Linked DNA regions of Rhinolophus ferrumequinum. The protein of the gene in region 1 interacts with the protein of each later gene in a pairwise test. Links are inferred from orthologs where the notes say so. Each region holds a gene or a part of one and is shown in the gene's direction. Other genes may lie near its edges.

What was found.
Region 2: the proteins of NELFB (region 1) and NELFE interact in binary tests that used the Homo sapiens proteins (3 or more experiments, as listed by UniProt). The link is inferred for Rhinolophus ferrumequinum from reciprocal best matches to the Homo sapiens genes NELFB and NELFE.

The regions. Positions count from the first base shown.
Region 1 is NC_046295.1:83,349,372-83,357,539, forward strand, and holds the start of NELFB (negative elongation factor B), read left to right. Parts: upstream 1-4,996; 5' UTR 4,997-5,162; coding exon 5,163-5,264; intron 5,265-5,606; coding exon 5,607-5,770; intron 5,771-5,991; coding exon 5,992-6,091; intron 6,092-6,456; coding exon 6,457-6,687; intron 6,688-8,168. Other genes in the region: protein STPG3, read left to right, coding at 909-1,015, 1,124-1,275, 1,370-1,504, 1,605-1,693, 1,801-2,101, 2,204-2,337. UniProt on the Homo sapiens protein: Essential component of the NELF complex, a complex that negatively regulates the elongation of transcription by RNA polymerase II.
Region 2 is NC_046286.1:2,408,630-2,416,794, reverse strand, and holds the start of NELFE (negative elongation factor E), read left to right. Parts: upstream 1-4,983; 5' UTR 4,984-5,118; intron 5,119-5,550; 5' UTR 5,551-5,558; coding exon 5,559-5,633; intron 5,634-6,996; coding exon 6,997-7,066; intron 7,067-7,165; coding exon 7,166-7,311; intron 7,312-7,806; coding exon 7,807-7,881; intron 7,882-7,989; coding exon 7,990-8,027; intron 8,028-8,165. UniProt on the Homo sapiens protein: Essential component of the NELF complex, a complex that negatively regulates the elongation of transcription by RNA polymerase II.

The DNA.
Region 1 (8,168 bases):
AGAGCACAGGCTGCCCCTTACCCTAATAAAACCTGTGCTTTCTCAAGCAGGGCTCTTCAGTTTGTCCATCTGGAGTACCTCCCAAGGCCAGGCAGGGTCCTTGCTAAATGGGGGGGATTCCGACAGGAAGACACTCGATCAGGGTGGGGAGGGCCCAGAGGCTGAGGCCACATTCTTGACCAGGCCCTGCTAGGTGGATTAGGCCAAGGCCAGGGCTGGGGCTGGGATCAACTCCAGAGGGCACGGCGAGAGCCCTGGTGCCCAGAGGGACTCAAGCTCACTTGGGCTCATAGTTCTTTTGCACTTGGGCCTGGGCAGCCCCATCCATCTGTGACACCTTCTGGCCTCTGTGACCCCAAACAGAGGACTGGCTCCCACACCGCAGCCTTGCCTGGGCCACCAAGTGGCTGTGGGGCCAGGCCTTCCGCTCAGGTCAGCAGGGTCCACTCAGACCTATCCATCGTTGCTTTGCTTTTCCGAGGGCTGAATTTCTAGTGGGGTTCCTGCCCCTCCAGAGAGCCTCCCTGGACGGTCCACTGCACCATGCTTCCTACCAGCTGGGCCTCCCATAGCACCCGCTCCCTTTTCCATTCTCTGCCAGGTGTCAGTCTTCCCTGAAGCTCTTCTTGGAATGGACCCCCAAAGTCGAGGGGAGGTTCAGGATTGGGGCAAGGATGTGGAAGGGGGAAAGGAGGCTAAGCCAGAAGTCAGGCAGGCAACTAGGGGTCCTCCTGGCCGAGGTGACCCAGAGTGACCCACCTGGCAGGTTGGGGGAGGGGCTCCTCCAGGGCAGGACGGCGCTCCTCCCTCCAGTATCCCAGCAACAGGGGTGGGGTGGGGTGGGGGTGGGAGCATGACGGGCCAGTGAGGTCACAGAGCTCCCTGGAAGGCAGCCAGAGACCCTGACAATGAATTTTGACCAGAAGGCTGTGAAATTCCTGGCAAATTTTTACATCAATGGAGGCAAACACTGGAGCCATGGCCCCCTGAGGCCGAAGTCCTCTGTGCCCACCCAGTAACTTCCAAGGGCGGTGGGCCAGTAGGGTGGGGGGTCTGGGGGCGGGCAGCTCCGATGCAGAGGCAGAGTGGCTGGGTGGATGCTGGCTGTCCGTCTCCCTTGCAGGCCCATGGCTGCTGTGCTGTTGTCAGGGCCAAAGGCCACCTGGGACAAGATGCAGCCCCCAGCAACGCAGGAGTTCCCGGCAGGCCTTAGGGAGCAAGTGGGCCACCTCCAGGAACCCCCGCCCATCTGCGCCCGGAACCCAAAGGAGCTGTGTGAGTGGGGGTCCCCAGTCTGGTCTGGGGAGGCAGGGCAGGGTCGGGAGGGGCCTCCTGGGAGGACCCAGGCCCAGAGCTTGCTTCCTGCCAGGGCTAGAGCGACGCCCCCCTGTCGTGACCGACCTGGACATCCCGGGCCCCACCAAGTACCAGGTGCCGGATGCTTCCGTGCGAGAATCCTCCGCGCACCCCAACTTCAGCATCAGCCGCAAGCACCCCGCCCGCGGTGCGTGCCCCTCCCTGCGCGCCCCCCACCGCGGCCCAAGTCCTAGGAGTGGGGCCGCTCCCCCAGCCTTCCGTCCCCAACGACGCTGCCTTCACTGCAGAGGGCGGTGGCCGCAGGGCGTGGCAGACCGTGTGGTTCCAGAGCGAAAGCCCCTTCACACGGAAAACCGACTTTAACAGGGAGCGAAAGGTGGGGCCCTCTCCCAGGAGGTCCTGCGGGGGTGGGGCCTGTGAGGGACGGGGTGGGCGGGGTCTCGAGGGACGGAGCGGGGCCTGCAGCTGCGTCCTCTCTCACAGTGGCCATCGCCCGCCGACTACTACCCACTCAGCGGACCTGCCTTCCCAGCTTTCAGCTTCGGGGGCCGCCGCCCCGCCTCCAAGGCAGTGGAGGCGCGCTCGCGACCCCGGAGGCCGCAGGTCTGGGGTGCTGGTCACTGTGCCCAGCCCCCGCTTCAGGTCCCACCGCAGGTCCCGGGCGGCGAGAAGCGCCCTAGCCCCAACACCTACGACATCCTTCCCGGGAGCTGTCTGCAGACCCCGCGCCCCCCCGCCTTCTCCATGAGCCGCTCGCCCGCGTTCGCGTCCTGGGTCAGCTCCTGTAAGGAGGACTGGGAGAATGGAGGCGTGGGCGGGGCAGGTGGGAGCTGGGCAGCAGCTGGTGCTGTGGCATGCGTGCGACTCCCTCTTTCTCCCTCTGCAGCCCGTAACCCCGGCCCAGCCACCTACTACGTGGAGGATTGCTATAACTCGCGCTTCCCCTCAATACCCGGAGTGGTCATCCAGGGCGAACGCAGACCCAAGCGCCATGACACGGGCCCCTTCTGCACGCTTTAGAGCCTGCTGAACACATCCTGCCCCGCCGGTTATCACATGGAGCCCTGCCTCCCTGGGGGCCTTCCCAGGTCTCCCTCTGGAACTCAGAGACCCCAGTCTGGCCTTCTGACCCTTTGCACACCGCTGAGCCACCCTCCTGCCTGGCTGACCCTTCTGTGAGCTGTGCTTGAGGAGAGGCCAGCTCACAGCCACCACCCCCCCTCCCCGCCATCCCCCTGCTATTAGAGGCGATGTTGGTTCTTCCAAACTCTGTCTGCCATCGTGGGCCTGTCTGCCATTTCTCACCCCGTGAGCTGTCCTGCAGCTGTGGCCTGCCGCTGGTCTGTCATGTCTGACTTTCCCTGACCAGGGGTCTCCCTTTGCTTCCTCTTAGGAGCTCTCTTCTCTAAGATGGGTGGAGTGGCAGCCTGGGACTTCCTGGCTTGGGACAGTATGGGAGGGGTCCCTCTGGGCAGTGCAGGACACAGCCACCTAGCCATGCCACCCAGGGGACCGGGCCAGCTACCAGTCTACCCGAGGGTCAGGCTGCTTGCCGAGCAGAGGAACTGACTTTGGGGTGAAGGGGGGGCCAGATTCCCTGAACTGCCATCTTGAGGAGAAGTCGGCCTGCCCAGCCTCCTGGGAGGGCCCAGAGGACTAGCTTATCAAGGCCTGACCCCATTTTCCCCAGCCCCTGCCCAAAGACCCTGCGAACTGGCCCTGGGCCTTCCCTGGTTATGGCCCTGTCCTGTGGCCTGGCCACTGGGCTATCAGCCTGCTCTCCTACCCAGGAGTGGGCCTCAAGACTGCCTCCCTGCAGCTGCTGGTGGTTCCTGTCATGGCACCAATTCTTTCAGGGGTCCTTCCTGTGGCTCCCATCCTCCCCCATCCAAGCTCTGGGCCAGACCCCTTCCTGTTTCCTCTGCTAGAGCTCAGCCCCTTCAAAAAGGCACTGCAACAACTGCTCCCACAGTGGTGGCATCAACCTTCTGCAGAGAGGACAAGGACCAGGCAGTCTGAGCGCACTCACCTATGACCTCTAGGGCTGAACCAGCTGGGAGTTGAGCCGAAGCTCCCCTGGGAATCAGAGTAGCGGGATTACAAATGGTCATCATTGGGCCCTGGGCTGCCCAGCTCAGCCAGTGGGCAACGGAGAGAGCTGTGGGAGCCCTGGCCTCAGGGGCTTGGCCCACGGTGGGGGGACCAGGAGCCCTGCTCATAGCTGCACCACTAACAACCCCTTGGGCTCAAAGCCAGAAGTGGGACCAGCAGGAAGGATGGAGCCATTCCCTCCAGTTGGGCTGAGAGGGCTTCCTGGAGGAGGCTGTGGGGTAATGGGCTTTCAGGGATGAGCAAGAGTTTCCTGGGCAGCAGAAAAGGAATTTCTAGTAGAGCAAACCTTGGAAACCGAGGCACATGGAAAGGGAGAGGGTGTGACATCTGCTGCGCTACGCTTGGGGACACTGGGCTGGTGGGCTGGAAGGTGATCTGGAGGAGTTGGAGAGGCTGCAGCTCCTGGGTTGCAGGGCTTACACACTTAGCAATAGGGAACCCACTGAGGGTGCAGAGCAGGGAGTGCCCATCGGCCCTGTGAGCTGCTGGCACCGCTAAGGACAAGGGACACCACGAAAGCTAGGCCTCACATTCACAGTCTCAGCCTGAGGGCCTATCGAGTTGGGATAGCCTGGGAGTTCGATGCTCATGGTGACGTGAGGTCAGCCATCCCTTGTCCACTCCCACTGCAAGCCCAGGTCACTGCTGGGTGCCCGCCATTGGGAGCACACGTGGGGGAGAGGATCGTGCACCTGGTGGGGCCCGGGTGCAGGGGGCTGCTAGCGCGGCAGTGCTCCATTTTTTCAAGCAAAAATATTCTGTCAACTGTAAAACAAAATCGACTAGGTATTCTGTCACCAAAAATAATTTATTTGGGGAAAAAGAAAGGGCTGCATTCGGGCAGACGCAGACATGGTGAGCCATTGCACGCACAGAACAGGACAAAGATGAAGTACTTTATACAGAGAAGAGGAAGTTAAGGAGCGGGGCTGGGACGCCAGGGCTCTTACGTAACCCTAGAGCTCTTCCCGTAGAGCTCTCCGATGACGTCAGTGCGAGAGCTCCTCCCACAGGCACTCCCGATACCCTCTAGCTTAAGGTCTGTCATAAATTTGATCATTTTTCAACGTCAAAAGGCTGCTGTGAGGTCAGAAACAGGACTTTTCACGATTATAAAAATCAAATATACTCGGCTAAAATGTCAGTTCTCAAATTCTTCAAGTCGGCCACCCCCCCTTCTGTGCCCGCCCCCTCCCCCGTACTCCTTCCGGTGGGGCCCCACACACCCCGCCCTCTGCCCCCACCGGCCCCGGCGTGGGTTCTTCTGTGTCTACAGAGGATAAGGCCAGAGACGGGGGTGGGCTGCAAACCTGGCTGGGCCCAGACAGCCGCCAGGCGGGAGGGAGGGAGGGAGAGCCGGCCCCGGGCGTGGCCCGCGGATGGAGCGGGACCTGGGGGGCGGAGCCGCGCTGGTGGTTCGCGCTCTATCTGGACGCTTTTATCCTGCGCAGCCGCTCAGCCTGGCGCGGCGCAGCTCCCAGGAGCCACTGCGCGGCGGCAGTGTTTCCGGGTTGGCAGGCTGACCCGGGCGTGCGGGGCGGAAGTGGGCGGCCGCGATCGCTGCGGAGCCTCGCTGCCTGCAGGCCCTGGTCGAACTGGAGGGAGCCGGGGAGAGGAGCGCAGGCGGCCCTCGCGGCCCGGGCGAGCGGACTGCCGGCGGGCCTGCGGCGGCCGCGGCGGCGCCGGCGGAGCGCGGCGGGGATGGGGCGCCGAGCCGGGCCGGGGCCTCGGCCATGTTCGCGGGGCTGCAGGATCTGGGCGTGGCCAACGGCGAGGACCTGAAGGAGACGCTCACCAACTGCACGGAGCCGCTCAAGGCCATCGAGCAGTTCCAGGTGGGGCGGGGTGCGGAGGCCGGGCCGTTGGGGCGTGAGTCAGGCAGGGGGCGGGGTCGCGTGGAAAGTGGGCACGTTTGTCTCCCTCCAAACGGGGCGTCTCTTCCGCGGGATGGAGGAGCCGGGTGTCCTGACTTCGTGCCCCATTGACGGACATCTGGGTGGCTTCCAGTTTTTGCAGTTACAGCCAGCGCTGCTGGGAACAGCCTTGCAGCTGCCTCCGTATGTGTTCAGGGCACCCGGAGTGCCCGGCCAGACATGGCTGCGGCTGAGGGTTCTGTTTTAGCCCCCCCACCCCCAAGTAAGCAAAATTGGCCCCACGCTGACCCTCTGCTTCCTCAGACAGAGAATGGCGTGCTGCTGCCTTCCCTGCAGTCGGCTTTGCCCTTCCTGGACCTGCACGGGACGCCCCGGCTGGAGTTCCACCAGTCCGTGTTTGACGAGCTGCGGGACAAGCTGCTGGAGCGCGTGTCGGCCATTGCATCCGAGGGGAAGGCCGAGGAAAGGTGGGTGGGCAGGTGATACGTGCAGCCCCTTTCTCAGGCTGGGCACTGGCTTAGTGCTCACTGTGCCCTTGGCCACACATCGCTACCCGAAAACGGCGCCTCTTCCCCAAGTGTCCTGCCTGTGGCAACTTGTTTGTTTAGCCATCTCCTGTCTGGGGACAGGCAGGCAGCTGCTTTTGTCTGGGTCCTGTGCAGCTTCCTCAGTCGTGCGCGTCTTTCAGGTACAAGAAACTGGAAGACCTTCTGGAGAAGAGTTTTTCTCTGGTGAAGATGCCGTCCTTACAGCCAGTGGTGATGTGTGTCATGAAACACTTGCCCAAGGTAAGAGTGGTGGCCTGGTGCGCCCAGGGCACTCGTGCCCAGGTTCTCGCTTGGTCCAGGCGTCGGGTGGGATCTGGGGAGGTTTCCTGAGCTGGCTGCCCAAGCAAGGGCAGCTCGGAGGCACGTTGTCTGTCGGCTTCCCCTGATGAGCCCCGTGGAAACCGAAGCTTGGCGTGCGAGGTGGGGTGTGGGCCCTTCTGGACAGGGCTGTGTGTGTTTAGCTTGGCCGCCTGTGCCTCCCAGGGCCTGGCGGCCAGCCACAGGTGCTCCTTTCATCTGGGGTTGGGTTCGAGGTGGTCTTTGGCCAATCTTGAGGTAGACCGTGGGCATAGGCGCCGCTCATGGGTGGCCTGTGGGTCGTGTAGGTTCCCGAGAAGAAGCTGAAGCTGGTCATGGCCGACAAGGAGCTGTACCGGGCCTGCGCTGTGGAGGTGAAGCGGCAGATCTGGCAGGACAACCAGGCGCTCTTCGGTGACGAGGTGTCCCCGCTGCTGAAGCAGTACATCCTGGAGAAGGAGGGCGCGCTCTTCAGCACAGAGCTGTCCGTGCTGCACAACTTCTTCAGCCCGTCCCCCAAAGCCAGGCGCCAGGGCGAGGTGAGGCCGGGCCGCGAGCAGGTGGCCTGACGGAGGGGCCACCTGGCCAGCCCCTTCCCCACCCTGACGTGGGTGGCTCTGCTCCTGGAACAGCAGGCTTGTGCCGTGGCTGGTAAGGGGCTTGCCGCACTGTGCCCGGGTGTGGTTCTTTTGGGTTTCACGTCCTCGGTGCTCTGCTACTTGGCCAGCTTTTCAGTGAAGCTCAGCATGTTTTCTCTCAGTTCTGGGAAGTTTCTTCTGTCTTTACGTTTGACTCGTTAATTGCTTGGACAAACACTTCTTGAGTGCCCGCTCCCTGCCATAGGTGCCAGGACCCTTCAGCGACCCTGGAGTTCAGGGTGCTTGTGTGGGGTACTGAGGTCTCATGGGGACAGACACTACGCAGTGAACGTTACGTGTCAGTCACTGAGCTTGAGGTGTGGACAAGGGCTGTGGAGACTGGAGATCGTATTGGAAGCAAGGCACGGCTGGGTGGGGCAGGGGTGGGAGTGAGGAAGGGGAGCCAGATCAGGGTGTAAGGAGGGGCAGGCCAGGGTGGGTGGGGTGTCCAGGGTGACGAGGCTGGTATGGCCAGAGCCTAGAGCAAGTAGGCAAGTGGGGTAGGGGTGTCGTTGGGAGGCCTGGAGGCCACTGTGCCGACTGGCCTTTCCCAGTCAGGTGGGGGTCACTGGACCTGACCTGGTTTTAGAATAACTGCGCATCCAGGGGAGGGCTGATGGTGACAAGTGGCCAGATACTGGCTGAGTGGTGTTTTGTGTTTTTTGCCGTCTTTCATGTTCAGCTTTCATTTGGAGTTTTGCGTGTTTGGTGTGAGGTAGAATCTAGCCTCACGTTTTCTCCTGAATGTCTGGCGGCTGGTCACAGCCCCGCTTCGATACTGGCCTGAGCAGTGTGTCTCTGCTCTGCTGTCTTTGTCTTCCAGCTCGTCTTGGGGAGCCTGGCCTTAGGCTGTGGTCTGCCCGTGGGCTCCTGTCCCTTCCTCACACTCCAAGCCAAGGTCCTGTTGGGAGCCCAGGTCCTTCCTGCCATGTGGTCTGAATTCCTGCCAGGGGAGAAGATGGCAGCAGGTTAACGCATCACCCTGTGGTCCTCGGCTGTGGTCCAGCTGCTGAGCCATAGTTGTGTGCTGGGCCACCTGTGAGCCGTATCCCTGAGCTGTGCCCTCTTGTTTGTGTGCAAGGCAGGCCTGGGTCATGGTCAGGGCTGGTACATGTTAGCTGTTGTTGGCACAGAGGTGCCCAGTACGTGGGTGCCGAGACTTGGGTCACGTCCCCAGCTCTCCTCTTCGTCGGGGTACCCAAGGCCTGTGTGTCCTCGGCAGGGGCTCTCAAAGTGGCCTATTGGGTCGGTCACTGCTCCTGCTACCCCTGCCATTCTCTCCACTTGTTGCGTCCAGTCTGATGCCTGTTGGGCTGCTGCGACGTCCATCACCCAGGTTGCCGCATGTCCTTCACACCAGTGGGCTGAGGTTCAGCTCCTGT
Region 2 (8,165 bases), on another chromosome or scaffold:
CCGACATGTGCAACACCTGCGGGGACAGAGGTCGTGATTGGGGGAGGGTCGTGGAGCACCCCGTCCCCACCCGTCTCCAAGTGCCCCCTCCATGCCTGGGGCAGCTGGCGGTCAGAGCCTCGGAGGCGAGCGAGGCAGCGCTGCAGGAAGAGATGAATCTCACTCTTCTCTGAACTTGTGGTGAGATCAAGGGAGGTGAGGCCTGAGGCCTGCTCATCACAGCGGCCCCGGGAGAAGGTGAACACCACCACGGGCAGCTGTGCACGGGTGCGGAGGGAGGCCAGCAGGGACAGGTACACACCGCGGTCCTGGGGAGGGGTCGCAAAGGGGCAGAGGCTGAGTCGGAGACTGTGGGGCCCAAAGTGGGGCCAGGTAAAGAACTCCCAAGCTCAAAGCTCAAGTCCAAACCCCCGGAGGACCAGGGAAGAAAGAACAGGAAGGAACAGGTGGTGACAGGTACAAAGCCTACTGGTTCGCACCTGTGCAGGCCCCCCCTGATGCCGTGGGCTGCTTGGCCCCAAAGGTCTGTGCATGCTTGCTCATCCTCTCCTTCTTGGCCTCCACAGCTGCATAGTACTGGGGATGCAGAGGGCGGCGTCACAGTCACACCCAGCCAGGCCAGCCCTGACTCCCCATCTCCGGCTTACCCCTTTGTGTAGAAGGTGCCTCGGGAGTCCAGCAGCAGGAAGAGCTCACCCTGCGTCTTGGGGCTGTTCCCCGTGAAGAGATAATGCTCTAGGGGGACGGGGCGAGTGACAGTGCTGATCACATAGATCTGACGGCGCTTCAGTCGTCTGATGGGCGGGAGACAGCGGGGGCGGGGGATGTGGGAGGAGCAGCGCACACGCCACCACCTTCCCCCTCGGGCCTCACCCAGCCTTTTCTGGAAGCCGGATTGGAAGGCTGTCCCCGTCATCGTATCTCTAAACATGCAAAGTAGTCTGGGCCCAAGTGGGCCGTGTTCCCCAGCCCCACCCTCTTCTCCCACCCCCAAGGCTGTGGCAGTCTTGGCCCCCTACCCCAACCAAGCACTACTACAGCGGCCTTCACCCAAGCACCCCAGGACACACGCCTCACCCAATCCAGTCAGCAAATTCAAGGGCGTTGGGGACAGTGGCACTCAGAAGGATGATGGAGACGTGGTCAGGGAGCATGATGAGCACCTCCTCCCACACGACCCCGCGCTGGGCACAGGGAGGGAAAACGAGTCACGGGCAGCTCAGGGGGGAATAGGGAGCTGCTGAACCAGTCCCACAGGAAAGGACCAGGCCCACATGAGCCCCGCGGCGCTTACCTCAGCGTCGTTGATGTAGTGAACCTCATCAAAGATGACCCACTCCAGGTCCCGGATGACATCCGAGCCGCTGTACAGCATGGAGCTGGGGAGAAGAGACCGAAGGCTGACTCCCCAGTAGCTCCCGTCTCCACTCTTAACTCAGCCACTCTCTCCAGAGCAGCCTCAGCTTCCTGGCCCCACATCCACCTGTGCTGAATGCCCATCTCTCACCGAAGGATCTCTGTCGTCATGATGAGGCAGGAGGCCTCCGGGTGCAGCTGTATGTCCCCGGTGAGCAGCCCCACATCCCCAAATGTGTTTCGGAAGTCTCGGAACTTCTGGTTACTCAGAGCCTTGATGGGCGAAGTGTAGATGGTGCTGGGAAGAGGGCGTGAGGTTAGCGCGTCTCTCCACACGACATGTGCTCAGCAGCGCCTGTCCACCCTGAGCCCTCCCAGCAGCATACTGCAGGCTCAGCGGCCCCCTTTCTTCACCCAATCTGCCCTTACTCTCCTGCATGACGTGATCCCAGAAAACTTTTGACTCTCAACCTCTTCCTAAACTAAACGCACGTAGATCAGCCTTCTAACCTCTCTCCCGGCACCTTCTCATTTCTCTCTGGGCCCCCGTCTTAGTTTCTCCCCAAAACCTCCCATCTAAAAGATGAAGAAAAGATATGGGGAAGAGATGAGATTTAGAAAAGAGGCAGGGGAAACAGGAATGGCTGGTGAAGGGGGAAGGTAGGGGAGGGGACCCGTACCGTGTCATGTGTTTCTGGGCGAGGGCAATGGCATATTCAGCCACAACTGTCTTCCCCGCAGACGTGTGAGCTGCCACAAAGACTGAGTCGTGCCGTTCCAAGTGCAGGATGGCCTGTTTCTGGAACACATCGGGCTCAAATGCCCACTGTGGGACAAAGAAATACATGGAGAATGAAGAGCGGAGAGGGGCCTTCCTGCCTCTGGCTCATGGGGCACGCAGGGCAGTAGGGAGAAGGCCAGAGTGAGGCAAGGCTGGGCCTGAGGTCCAAGACTGGGCGGGAAGGCTTCTGGCCTGTGGTGGGAGAGGCTGGGAGGAGGTGGAGGAGCATGTGAGGACGGGGCCACACTACCTGGAAGGCTGGCTGGGGGATGAGGCGATAGAAATCACCAACAGGGGAGGTGACATCCACAGGAATAGCCCACTGCTCCTGAGGTAGGGCTTTGGGGAGCTCGGTGGGCAATATAGCTGTGGTCGCTTCCTGAAAAAGTCGGGGGTAGGAATGATGAAGTTATAGCCAGAAAACTTTCCATTACTACTCCTCCCAAAAGACGCTCCAATCTTCCCCTTAGACCCAACCAAGCCAGTCCACCCTCCCAGCGGCAAGGCTGCTTCTTTCCTGCCTCGACCACCCAGAAGCACCAACCTTCAACACTAGGTCCTCCAAGCTGCTTGTTCGGGCCAAGGGAGCACTGCAGGGAGAGGCTGGAGCAGTGTCCCCTCTGGTACCTCCCGGCTGTCCCACTGCCTCCCTCCCATCCTCATTTCCCCCACCCAAATCCAGGGGTTCCAGCAGACGGCTGAGGCTGAGCAAACCACGAGCTGGAGCTGAGTGATCTGAGGAGAAAGGCAAAAAAAGGGGACCTGGTCAGGTCCATCTCTGTCCTGTAAGATAAGGGCACCACTTCTCCATGCCCCCACCTCAAAACTCACCTTTGGTGCAAAGTCCACGCCTTTCTTGAAGCCAGGTGGAACGGTAAGAAGCTCTGGAGGACCGGGACAGAGAGAGAATGGGGCCACTGCACACCGTTATACAAATTGTACATTGCATAAACCTAAAGGATGTCATTCACAGCACAAACGTTGTAACTGGGAACATTTGTTGTAACCACTTTCCAATAAATGACAAAGAAGGTTGTTATGGAAAGGGTGCCTTTTCCTAATTTGCTCAAAGGCATGAAGCAGCCCAGTGATAGGCCTGGTCCCCTCATCTGCAAGGTCCAGACTTGAAGCCCTGCCGCCCAAGGGTCCATCCTGGCACCACCTCACCTTTCTCAAAGTCTATCTCCTCCTCAGCTTCTTCCCGAGTGCTCAGATCTGTTATGGTGGGCTCGTCCATTCCACCTGGGGAGAGGTTGGACAAATAAAGATTCATGAGGGGTGATACGGGAACCCTTCCTTGGAGACTGAGGGCTCCCTCCCCAACCATCTCATTTCCACAAGAGTCACCTGGCCAGAAAGGGTACTGTGTTGGATTCCCCCATAGGGACTGGGAAACGGGCCCTGGTGGCCGGCGAAGAGACAAGGAGGTCGTGGCCGTCAGGTCTGTATTCTCCAGCAGGACCTGAGGCAAGAGATCAGAGCCTCAGTGAGGTTGAGCCTGCCTCTGACCCGCCTTTTCCCAACTCTGCTTCTCATGGCCCCTGATCACTTACCTCCTTGTAGCCCAGTATCTGGCCTGTGGTTGGGTGTCTCTGGGCTTGTAGATCGGAGGGAACTGGGGCCCCCAGTACAGCCAGGAGAGACCAAGGATCCATCTTCCTCTGCCATTTTCTGATGAGAAGGAAGTAATTTTCAGGTCTTCTTTCTCCTCTGTCTCAGCTTCTTTTAGAGACCCATCTCACTAGTCCAGTCCCCTCCAGACCCCTCACCGGGCTGGGTGATCCACACCATGCAGAGGCAGCCAGGCTGGAGATGACAGAAACAACTGCTCTGCTTCTTGCTGCAGATCCGGGGCACAGGGGGGGAGGCCGTGGGGAAGCTGGAACAAGGACAAGATGAGAGAAAGTGATGGGACTTGTGTTGAGATCAGAAATGGTAGATGTCTCAGACAGACTAGGACAATTAAGGTGAAGGAAGATTTTCCAAAGGTTGTCATTTTTTACAGGACAAACGGCCTGCTGCTGAATTACCTGAGGCGCTGGTTAATAATACAGATTTTGTACTTCAGAATCTGGGGCTGGACCTAGGAATATGTATTTTTAAAAAGCTCCCCCACTAATCATGAGGCATACTGAAATTCGAGAATCACTAGCTTTAGGAAAAGAGATCCCAGACCTAAAGATGAAGAGCCTTTATCTCCAAAGGCTAGCATCTCAGCCACCGACAAGTGCTTGGAGACAGAAAGGGACTGCAACCTTTGAAAGAGCAGTTCTCAGAGCTAAGGTACCCCAGCGCTGCAGGCTGATCCTCACATGGGCTCTGACCCACAGCAGGCCCACTAGGCTGGAGTCTGTCCGGCACCAGTCCAGGCCCCGAGGACAGGTATCCAGGGAGAGAAGAGCTGGTCATACTAGACCCTACTGTAAGGAAGAGGTTTTAAGCTCAATGCGGGTCAAAGGTTAGGGTCAAAAGTCACTCACGGTGCTCTCTGGAGCCCCAGGCACATTCAGCAGCTCCCAGCGCCCAGTGCATCCCAGCTCCACAGCCCGAAGGGGCAGGTCCAGGGGCTCTAGGGGAGGTAGTACTACAGGAGAAAGGTCAGAGGTCAGAGGTCAAGGCCAATCTCTGTCTATTTCTTCGTTCCACCCCCTCCCCCTCACCGAGTCGCTCTGTCTCCAGCATCTAGGAGCCACGGTAGGGGCCAGGCAGCCCAAAAGCGCAGCGGGGAGCTGTGTGATAAGCTCCGCCCCGAAACGGGCGGAAGTGGAGGCGACTTCCGGTACACACCCCGCTGGGGGTGTGCACGAGTGCTACGGAGGGGCTGCCCTGAATTGGTGGAAGGTCGGGCGGAAGTGACTGCGCCTCGGGCCGCCTTGGTTACCGCGTTCTCCGCCCCTCGATACGTCATCGCTCTGAGCCGGCGATCCGCTGCCCGCGCGGGCGCTGCCCGAGAGCGCGGGTCCCGGTTGCCGCCCCCTCAGGTAAGGCTTTCTCCTTCTCACCCTTCGCCCCTTTCTTCCGAGCTCTTTCTCTCTTTTTCCCCTTTTCGTTGCTCTGAGAGCGCTGCGCGGGTTCCAGTGCCTCCTCTGCGGTTCTGAACCCCCGGTTGCCATACGAACAACTCCAGTGGGGAGAGGGGGGGTCTTGTGCCATCGTCTTGGCGACAGAGGGGGTATTTCTCCTCGGGCCACGGGGGGCCCCAAGGCGCTGGTGTCTGTGATTCCTAGCGAGGACGGAATGCTGGTTGACCCCGACGAGGGGGCTCGGACGGCATCCTGGCTTAAGCAGGGGGTAGGGAGAGCCAACACACAGGAGTAGGCAGGCCTGAAGGGGGGGGTCGGGGGAGTGGACGGCGTGTGAACCCCGGGCGGTGACAGTGGAGAAAGATGCCTTGGGCCCTGCCCCTGAACCAGGAGCCACCATGTTGGTGATACCCCCCGGACTGAGCGAGGAGGAGGAGGCTCTGCAGAAGAAATTCAACAAACTGAAGAAAAAGGTGAGGGAGTGTGTGTGGGCATCGCCCAACCTTTCACAGACTCTACCCTCTGAGACCACCTGGGGTGAGTGTGAGGGATGGAGGGTTCTTCTGGCTCACACCGGCACACTGGCACCTCTCAGTGTAGCCTCAGAGGTGGGCTTTTCCCAAGTCTGTGTACCTTCTCTCTTTTCTATTCACTCTGCCATGGAGTTGTCTTCCTTTCCTGTGGCTTTTAGTACCACCTAAAAGCTGGTGATTCCACGTTTGGTGTTTTTCCAGTTCCATCTGATGTCTTACTGATAACCTTCAGATATCCAAAATTAAAGCTATTATCTTCCTGTTTATACTAATCTAGTTCCTTTTCTTGCTCTTCCAAATAAGGCGTGATCACATTCAGTTCTCCCATGTGTTTAGAATCAAAATCTCATCTCTGATTCGCTGTTTGCTTCGCCAAACGTTTGCCAAGTCTTCTGAATTCTTCCTTGGAAGTAACTTCTATTTATTTTTTCCTGTATTATGTATTCCATAGATCTAGGTCTTTGCTGACACTCATCTAGACCGTTGTAATGGTCTCTCGACAAGTTTTTAGTGTTTGTTTATTTTTAACAGACTTCTTCACTCCTATTAAAACAATCCATTGAAAACATAAGACTTTGTCCCTCTTTTTCTCAAAACCCTTAAGTGGTTTCACATTGTCTGTAGAACAAAACCTTAACTTGTGGCATCCCTTTTTAGTAAACTAGAACTATTCACTAGTCCCAAGACATGCATCCCCAAAGCTTCTTATCTCTGTATTTTTGCCACAGTTTTCTTTGTCTAAAATGCCTTTTTTCTTCAGTTTCTATTATGCAGATGCTACCTAGGGTCCAGTTTAATAACCATTTGGCTTCAGAAAATCTTACTCTCAGCTGCAAGCAGTCTGCACGTCTTATAATCATTCTTGATAATTCAGTCTAGCCACTTTGTTTCTCAGATTGTAAACTTGGGGAGGAAGTGCGTCTCCTCCCCATACAAAGTAATGAATGGCAAGTTCTTATTAAACAAACAGGGTATGGATGGATGCACTCCAGAAAGCATGTAGGCGTTTATTTACTTGCAGCTCATAACCTGGGGCTCTCGTCCATCATTGACTTTCTTGTTTTCTACTTCAAAAATGTGATGCTCTGGGATACCATGGTTTGGATACCTTAAGTATCGGTGGCGCTGTGCGTGAACCGGGCCCGTGTGTAAGAGGCAGGGCTGCTTTAGTGAACTACTCCAGGGGCACCATTTGCACTGTTTTCTCTGAGAAAGGTGTCCCCTGGAGTGACGCACCCAGGGGCCTTAGGAGAGGACCTGGTCAGAGACTGGCCCTCACCAACTCCTCTCTTCTCATTCCCAGAAAAAGGCATTGCTGGCTCTGAAGAAGCAAAGCAGCAGCAGCACAGCCAGCCAGGGTGGTGTCAAACGCTGTGAGTGACAGGGAAACGGGGATAGGCTGCGAGTAGGGAGCACGGGGCTGACCTCTCGCAGCCTGGCTGACGTCATGCCTCTTTCCCTCACCACTGCAGCACTGTCAGAGCAGCCTGTGGTGGACACAGCCACGGCAACAGAGCAGGCAAAGCAGCTGGTGAAGTCAGGAGCCATCAGTGCCATCAAGGCCGAGACCAAGAACTCGGGCTTCAAACGCTCTCGAACCCTAGAGGGGAAGTTAAAGGTAAGCACAAGCAGAAAGATAGTTCAGGGGACCCCTGACTTCGGAAGGCATCCCTCCAAGAGCAATGGAGGTGGTTTAGGGAAAAAGTGATACCTGTCAATCACGGGCAAAATGCGCTACCATTCTGAGCTTCAGGTTGCTTATCTGAAAAATGAAGAAAATGGGTGACTCCTAAATTCTCCATTTTACACATTCTGCGGCTCTGTTGTGCGTGTGCGAGCTCTTAGATTGTGCTCTAAGGAGCTGAACAGGCTGAAATGGCGTCAGGTTCAAGAAGTGTTTAGGTAAACTAAATACTTGAAGGGTTTATTAGGGTCACTTATTTAAAAATCCCACACAGTCAGATAAGAGAAGTGCAAAGGAATTAAAAGAAAAAAAGACAAAACGGTAGAACAGAGGAAGCTGAGGAGAGGGTGAGGGAAAAGGAACGCCCTCTGACCCGCGGTCAGGCAGCCTCCTGCCCCACACTGAGGCAGGTCTCTACCACCTTCCCAGGATCCTGCGAAGGGGCCAGTCCCCACTTTCCAGCCGTTCCAGAGAAGCATATCTGCTGACGATGATCTGCAAGAGGTAATGGGCCCCGTTCTTTGTCCCTGAGGGCCTGGGATTGGGGAAGAGGAGCGACCTACATGCCAGCAACCAGGAATCAGCTGAACTGAAACTGGGTCTCTTTTTCAGTCGTCCAGACGTCCTCAAAGGAAATCTCTGTATGAGAGGTTAGCAGGTTGGAGATAGGACTGGGTCCCACTAGGTGGTTGGTGTGGGGGGTGATTGCCTGGATCCTGGGGCGGTCTGGGGCTGGAGTGGCAGGAGCTGGGGCTGCACAGGGAGGCGGGGGTCAGTCTCCTCAGGGT